Linked DNA regions of Canis lupus familiaris. The protein of the gene in region 2 purifies or fractionates together with the protein of the main gene of each other region. This does not show direct contact. Links are inferred from orthologs where the notes say so. Each region holds a gene or a part of one and is shown on either strand. Other genes may lie near its edges.

What was found.
Region 1: the proteins of HTT (region 2) and CREBBP purify together in Homo sapiens (affinity purification with western blotting; 5 studies listed by BioGRID and IntAct, with this or other methods). This does not show direct contact. The link is inferred for Canis lupus familiaris from reciprocal best matches to the Homo sapiens genes HTT and CREBBP.

Annotation. Positions count from the first base shown.
Region 1 is NC_049227.1:37,802,823-37,806,641, forward strand, and holds part of CREBBP (CREB-binding protein), read left to right. Parts: intron 1-1,692; coding exon 1,693-1,872; intron 1,873-2,864; coding exon 2,865-3,054; intron 3,055-3,819. UniProt on the Homo sapiens protein: Acetylates histones, giving a specific tag for transcriptional activation. Mediates acetylation of histone H3 at 'Lys-18' and 'Lys-27' (H3K18ac and H3K27ac, respectively).
Region 2 is NC_049224.1:61,700,830-61,704,648, forward strand, and holds part of HTT (huntingtin), read right to left. Parts: coding exon 3,721-3,819; intron 1,964-3,720; coding exon 1,852-1,963; intron 1,612-1,851; coding exon 1,474-1,611; intron 632-1,473; coding exon 473-631; intron 388-472; coding exon 290-387; intron 1-289.

The DNA.
Region 1 (3,819 bases), on a different chromosome or scaffold from region 2:
GTTCCCCATTATCCTAGGCAGGTGTCTTCTGAGTTTTAGTAATTTTTCTCTTAACATCATGAGGATATGATAAACAAGGCACATTCCTTCCTAATTGTATGTGCTTTGGCTTTGCCTGTCTTGTTTTCAGACCTGGAGACTTTTCGTCTCATGACAGAATGGCAAACTCAGGTTAGCACTTCCTGTAGCTCACCTCTGCCCAGTCCTTCCCAGACCTGCTGGCATTGCCCCAGTTACCATTGAAGTCTTTTATCCCCCCCTTAAAAGATTTATTTACTTATTTATTTGACAGAGAGCCCACGCACGCAAGCACAAGCAGGGAGAACTGCAGAGGGAGAGGGAGAAGCAGGCTCCCTGCTGAGCGGGGAGCTCGACTGGGGGCTCCATCCCAGGACCCCAGGACCATGACCCAAGCCAAAGTCTGATGCTTAACCGACTGAGCAACCCACGTGCCCCTATCACTGAAATCTTCACATCCATTTTCGTATCAGCCTAACTTAGAAACCATCTTTCCCCCTGAAATACATTAACTTTATTCTTGGAGACTGAGGATATTAAATAAATAAATAAATAAATACCCCCAACATAACATTACTGTTTATATTTCTTCTTAGGAATTGTGCTTATTATTTATCCTTATTTTATATTTCTAATCTCTAACATTCCTTTGTAATTTTATATTCTCTTCTGCTTACTTCAGTTAAAGCTCTTATTAGGTAGGGGCACCTGGGTGGCTCAATTGGTTAAGCTTCGGACTCTTGGTTTTGGCTCAGGTCATGATTTTAGGATCATGGGATTGAGCCCTGCATCAGGCTCTGTGCTGGACATGGAGTCTGCTTATCTCCCTCCCTCCCTCTTTGCTCTTCCCTGACTCACGCATGCTCTCTTGCTTTCTCTCTTTCTCTGTCAAATGGATAAATAAAATCTAAACAAACAAACAACAACTATAAGTGAGACTTTGAAAGTTGAGAATTCTTACGGTGGTTCCTGGCCTTGTTTGCTGACTTCTCCTTCACCACCCCTGTGCCTGCACTTCACAGGCTAAAATACCTGTCCTTGTTCCGTGTCAGCCTTTTATCCCCCTTCCTACTTGGGTACTTCTAGATCTACACTTCAGCCATTTATGGTAAACTTGAATGGCCTTATTGGAAAGAATTAATTTTAAAATAGAAGATTCTGTGACTTAGAAAACTTCCAGGGGATCCCTGAGTGGCTCAACGGTTTAGCACCTGCCTTCCGCCCAGGGCATGATCCTGGAGTCCCGGGATCGAGTCCCACATCAGGCTCGCTGCATGGAGCCTGCTTCTCCCTCTGCCTGTGTCTCTGCCTCTCTATCTCTCTTTCTCTCTGTCTCTCGTAAATAAATAAATAAATAAATAAATAAATAAATAAATAAATAAATAAATAAATAAATAAATAAATAACTTCCAGAAAATAGTTTTATATCAACCTGTAGGAAGCACTGCACCTTCATCTCTGCATTCGTGGTAGGAAGCTCTTTCTGTTTCGACCTCATTGACTTCCTCTGGGACTCCTGTTTTAAATTTTCTCTTCTTCAGTTCTCTCAGATAGGGGTGTCTATTAGATTAGTGTTGAGAAATGTTCATAAGAAACTGGGTATTTGGTGAATAGCAGAATTAAACATCATTTCTGTTTTATTAACAGAGATATGTAATTCTGGTTTTTCCACAGCTTTCCCAGGCAGCCGCCAGCATCGATAACCGGGTCCCCACTCCTTCCTCGGTGGCCAGCGCCGAAACCAACTCCCAACAGACAGGACCCGAGGTACCAATGCTGGAAGTGAAGGCAGAGGTCAAGACCGAGGACACTGAGCCGGATGCCAGTGAAGCCAAGGGGGAGCCTGGGTCCACGGTAGGTGCCCTTCCTGGGGCGTGAACAGGTGTGCACCATACTGAAGCGTCCTGAGGCGAGACACCGCATGTTCTCCATGGACGACACTGCTTTTTGTTTTAATGTCCTGTTTGATGATGGATTCAGAGAGGATAAATGTTAAAAATAGATTAGTTATTTTTAGGTATTAGGTACGGGTTTTACTATATTTTGCCAGAAATGAAGAGGACACTGGTTTATATTCTAAATGATTGAATCATCCAGTGACTGCACTGTCATTCTTCATTCATAGGTAGTTCTGTAGAGTTAGACTGCACAAGGGTGTGCTCATTCATTAATTAACCTGTGGCAAAAGCTAAAGACTGGCAAGCCATGGGCTGGATCCACCCCCATCCACATGTTTTGTTTGGCCCACACAATATTTTTTAAAATGAGGAATTACAAATAAAACTCTGGGTTTCTGGCTTTTCTTTGAAAATGAGAAGCTCTGTCAGCCTTGTGCTTACATTCCTATGTCAGCAGTCTGGGTGGGAGCCTCAGCCCTGGCTTTTAGATGGGGCTTGGGCTCCAATTTGCCGGAGTCTCCACTCCCCACTCTGGCTCACACACCTCCTGCTGCATCATGTACTTCACCTGCCTGGCCCTCTGAGCAGTTTGGTTTTTGAAACTTGCCCCAACTTTCAAGAAGATTCTTGTTCCAAACTAGAAATGCCTACATGTAAAACTACTGGGCAGGTGATGGGGTGTGTATATGCAATGTCTTATAAGCACTCTAGCATATAAAATTTTTAAATTGGGACTATAATTGCAGTGGTGCTGTCCTAAGGCAACTCACCTGACACCAGATGTTCCAATCCTTCCTGGGGGAGAGGAAGGGATGGTAAATGCAACTCTTGAGTAGGGTACAGCTTGATAAGCCCAGATAGATTGTTAAGAGACTTCCAGTGAGGCTGAGTTAGAATAAAGGTCTTTGCTATTCATACATTATTACCTGTAATTCTGTATTTCTCAAGATGATGGAAGAGGATCTACAAGGATCTTCTCAAGTTAAAGAAGAGACAGACACAACAGAACAGAAATCAGAACCGATGGAAGTGGACGAGAAGAAGCCGGAAGTCAAAGTAGAAGCTAAAGAGGAAGAAGAGAACAGTGCTAATGGGGCCACCTCTCAGTCAACATCTCCTTCACAGCCACGCAAAAAAAGTAGGTTGTGTTTCCTGGACTTGTTTTATCGTGCTGCTTTTCCATCGTGTTGGGATTGCACACCACAGGTTAAAAGCTAAAGCAGAAAAATAATTGTCTCCCCCCCTTATATCTTTTCTGCCTGCCATTCCCCAAGTTTTACTTCTTCAGAAATGATGACAGAGAGCTAGACTGCAGCCTGAGGGCCCATGAGGTTTATGGTGGGAATGAGAAATGAGCCGCAGCTCTGAGGGGCAGCCCAGGAGCACATCTCTCCTCTGAGCCATCATTCCCCATGGGGCCAAAGTAGAAGTTGCATCTGAGTCCTTGTGCCCGCTGAGGAGCTTGGGCTTTCTTTACTCAGTAGGGCCTGGACGACCACGGATAGATTTGAGCAGGAGGTTGACTGCCACACTAGGGAAATTATCACCGTGGCTACACGTGGGTGCACTGTTACAGATGGGAAGGTGTGCTCAGAGTAAATGGGCAGTGGAACAGGACCCAGTGCCTGGTGCAGTGGGAGGGGTGCAGATAACTGAAGATGCTTTGCGGGGTGAGGCAGCCTCGCAGGGGGACTCAGAGGGAACCCATTGGAGGTCCAGCATGAAGTCAGCAGGGTGTCAGAACATTGTTAGGTGACCCTTGTAAATGAGGAATGTGGTTCAGGAAGTTAAGGGCTACTTGTGGCACATTTGGGAAAGTCAACAAAGAACTGTTCAAGGCTGATACTCTAGAGTAAGTTTTTGGTCTCAGACCTGTTAATACTCCTAAAGATTGAGGACACTT
Region 2 (3,819 bases):
TAATTCAACAGGTTTTATGCTTCATGTTAGCAAGGTGTAAAGCAAGATCCTTTAGGAAAGGAGCATTTCAAACAAATACCCTGAGTATTAAAACTTATGCTACACTCTATTAAATAAACCTTTCTTGGTAATGCTTTCTGCAACAGAGTCGTGGACACATCCAACTGTTTACTGTTGTTCACAGCTTTAGAAGGTCTACGAATATTTAGCATTAAACCCAATTTTAATGGTAACAAAGGTAAAATTTCCACTAATCAAAGAATTGATTTTCACAAAAGATTATACTTACCCTCACAGCTGTACAAGCCAACTTGCAAGTAACAGAAGATTCATCCTTCAAAGTTTTCTGCAGCAAAGGAACACAGTCCGCCAGAGAAAATGTACTTCCTAACCAGAAGAGCAAACAGCGCCTTTATGCAAACTTGAACTACAGAGTTCTACCTAGGAAATACACTGCAAGTTCTGCCATTACCTGTCAGGGTCCTGACGGTGCCCATCCAATCTCCCACCTGGAAGCGGGATCTGCTGAGGATAGAGGAGATGAGGGTTCCGCAGAGAACGGCTGTGGCTCCTCTGACTTGGGGGTCTCCATGGTCGATGTAGTTCAGGATGTCTGACACATACTGCTCCTCTGTAGAGATAAATTGCCCAGCCACTGTACAAGCCCCTACCATCCATTTTCTAACTCAGAAGAAAAGTTTAATTCTCAGGAAAGGAAAAAAAAAAAAAACAAAGGTGAGGGAGGATTCCAAATCTAGAATATAGATTTGGTAAAAAAATATCATGGGGTTTAAAGATTCTAGATTCATCATAGCCTTGACATCACTTCAACACAATAGATGTTCTGGATTATAATTCCAGGCTGCCAGCCAATAATCAAAATTCCAAGATTTCACTTAAAAAAAAAAAAAAAAAGATTAGAGAAACTCAAACTAGTCCACACTTACCTAATATGAATTCAAAAGCACAAGTGTGTCCCCTCGCCCAAAGAAAGGGGGAGAACTCGGGAGGGTAATTTTAGAAGTGGGGTTCCTCCCCCATTTACTCCAACATGAGAGAATGTCCCAGAACGTGTGCTACAGGAGCCTGGATCTGCTGGTGCTCTGCTGGTCTCGGGTCGCACTTGTCTCTGAGTGTGAACATCTGGCCTGGCTGAGTGTGACCCAAAGCAATTTTGATTATACACAATTTGTGCTTTTGGTATAAATCCAGTATGTATGTAAACTGGCTCTTATGTTCCCACATTTCTATTGTTTCATCATGTGTGTTTAAACTAAACATTGCATCTACAGGGAGTCCAAAAAACAAAAAACATTACGATTTATGTGCTTTATATACAGCTACAACACAGTTCAAAAATGCCACAAATTAACTCAAAAAATATTACTCTAAACTAAAATAGCCAAGATGATCTGAAATAGTTTTCAAAGCAATGGTTAAACATGAGGAATAGACTGTGAACTTGTAACATACCAGGGTATTCCATGGTGTCAAGAGGTACTTTATAAAGTTTGCTGAAGAAAGATTCAGGATGAAGGGCCACAGCAGCTCCAACACAGCTGAGTGCCAGTGCCTTCACACTGACCCGCACGTCCCTGTCTGGAACCAAAACTGCAAGGAAGGCAGCAAAGTGACCTTCAAAGTGACAGACATCTAGTTTCCACATAAACAAAACAAGACCCAGGAACCCAGCTCCCTCATCACTCCCTCCTTCTCCCATCAGTGAAAAGGACCACCGCTCACCCCAGACTCTACTCCCTCCCTCTGCTGCGGTGATGAGGCACCAGTCACCAAGTTGACCTTGAGACCTAGGCACTTCCCTCAGCTCTGTACTTGCTCTGCTATACATACCATTTTTCTCCCCAGTCAGCAAAAATGACGCACACAGGAGGCGGACACAATGGACAAGAGGAACAGAATCATCATCGGTAGACTGTCCTATGTCACCTTTGATCCGGCAAGGCTACAACAAAGAAATGGACACTTTCTTATGATCGTTTGTCTTATGATCAAGGAACCACTATAGTCACTCGTTAGTGTGTTCAAAAAATAGGTCCAGAGCAGCAACTATGCCAGGTGCTGGGGACAGAGATACCTATCTCTGTCCCACGAAAGCCTGGCCTTAGACCATGCTGGAACAGATCCAGAGTGGTCAGAGGCAGCTACACTGTAGGGTCACGGAGACTGTGGCGGGGAGAAGTCCAATGCATGTGTGTGTGGGGGGGGCACCAGCACTCAGGAGAGGCTGCTGGGAAAGGACAGCACGAACCACCATCTACACAAGGGGAAGCACTCAGCCACAGGCAAGAGCCCTGGGAATGCCCAAAGCAGAAATGGCACAGACATATCTGTGCCTGAGCAGGACTTGGAAGGAAGTGCAGAGACTGGGCAGCTACAGAGGGACTATGGACAATTTCTCACCCTCGGGGAATTTAGAACTGAGAAGACAAGACACTTATAGGCAGTAAGCAATAGAGAGAGATTTTATAGACAATTCAATGGATAACTCAACAACAACAAAAAATTCCCAAACCTGATTAAAAACCGAGTGAAGGGCTTGAACAAACATTTCTCCAAAGACAACATACAAATGGCCAGTAAACACAGGAAGAGATGTTCCTCCATCACTCATCATTAGGGAATGCAAGTCAAAATCACAATGATCTACAACCTCACTCCCAGTAGGATGGCTACTAAAAAAAAAAAAAAAAAAAAGGCCAGAAAATGACAAGCCTTGGGCGAGGACATGGGGAAAACTGGAACCCAACATGTTGCTGGTGGGATGCAAACCGGTGCAGCTATCAGGGAAAGCAGTGTGCACGGATCTCGAAAAAAACTAAAACTAGAACTACCCTATGACTCTGCAATCCCACTTCTGGGTGTATATCCAAAAGATGCCTACATGCCAGGTTCCTAGCAGCATCACTCATAACAGCCAAAAGACAGAAGCAACCCAAGTGCCTATCAACAGATGAACAGAAAAACAATATGTGGTCCATCCACACAGTGAGGTATTACTCAGTCTTATGGAGGAAGACACTTCTTACAACATGGATGAACACTGAGAACATTGACCAAGTGAAACAAGCCGGTCACAAAAGAACAAAGACTGCCTGGTTCCACTTAGCTGAGCTTCCCCTCGAATAGTCACATATAGACACAACGCAGATGGTGGGAGCCAGGGGCCAGGAGGAGGAAAGATGGGAAGTTTGTGGTTAATGGGGACAGAGCTTCAATCTGGGGAGATGAAGAGCTCTGGAGATGGAGGGTGGTGATAGCTGCACAATGTGAATGCACTTATGCCATGGAGCTGTACACTTCACATGGTTACAATCATAAATTTTATATTTTATGTATTTTAAAACTATAAACAATCAAATGAATAATTCAATGAATAAAAACAAGAAATGCTCCAAGACTATGCACGACCATCAAATGAATGGCCCAAAAAATCAGGGGAGACAGGAATCAGTACAAGACAGATTTGTCTGAGAAGGACTCTCAAGGAGGCAGAACTCCAGGTAGTTCTCAAGGATCTGGGTAGTACCAGGAGGGGCAGAAAAGAAGAGCACACCCAGGAAGGGGTTGATATTTAGGGGGAATAGCGGAGTAGAAGCTCAGAGATGGGAAAGCGAGGAGCACAGCAGACAGGAGCCAGAGTGATTTTAAACTCTCACAAGAGCTCAGAATGCCAAGTGGTCTCATGCCCAAATATCTCACCTTGTTTTCTTGATCTCCTGTTTCGGTAGCTTCATCTCTGGAGACAAACTTGTCTATACTGCTGTCAGAGGGCTGCCTGCTGTGGCCCATGCTTTTCAA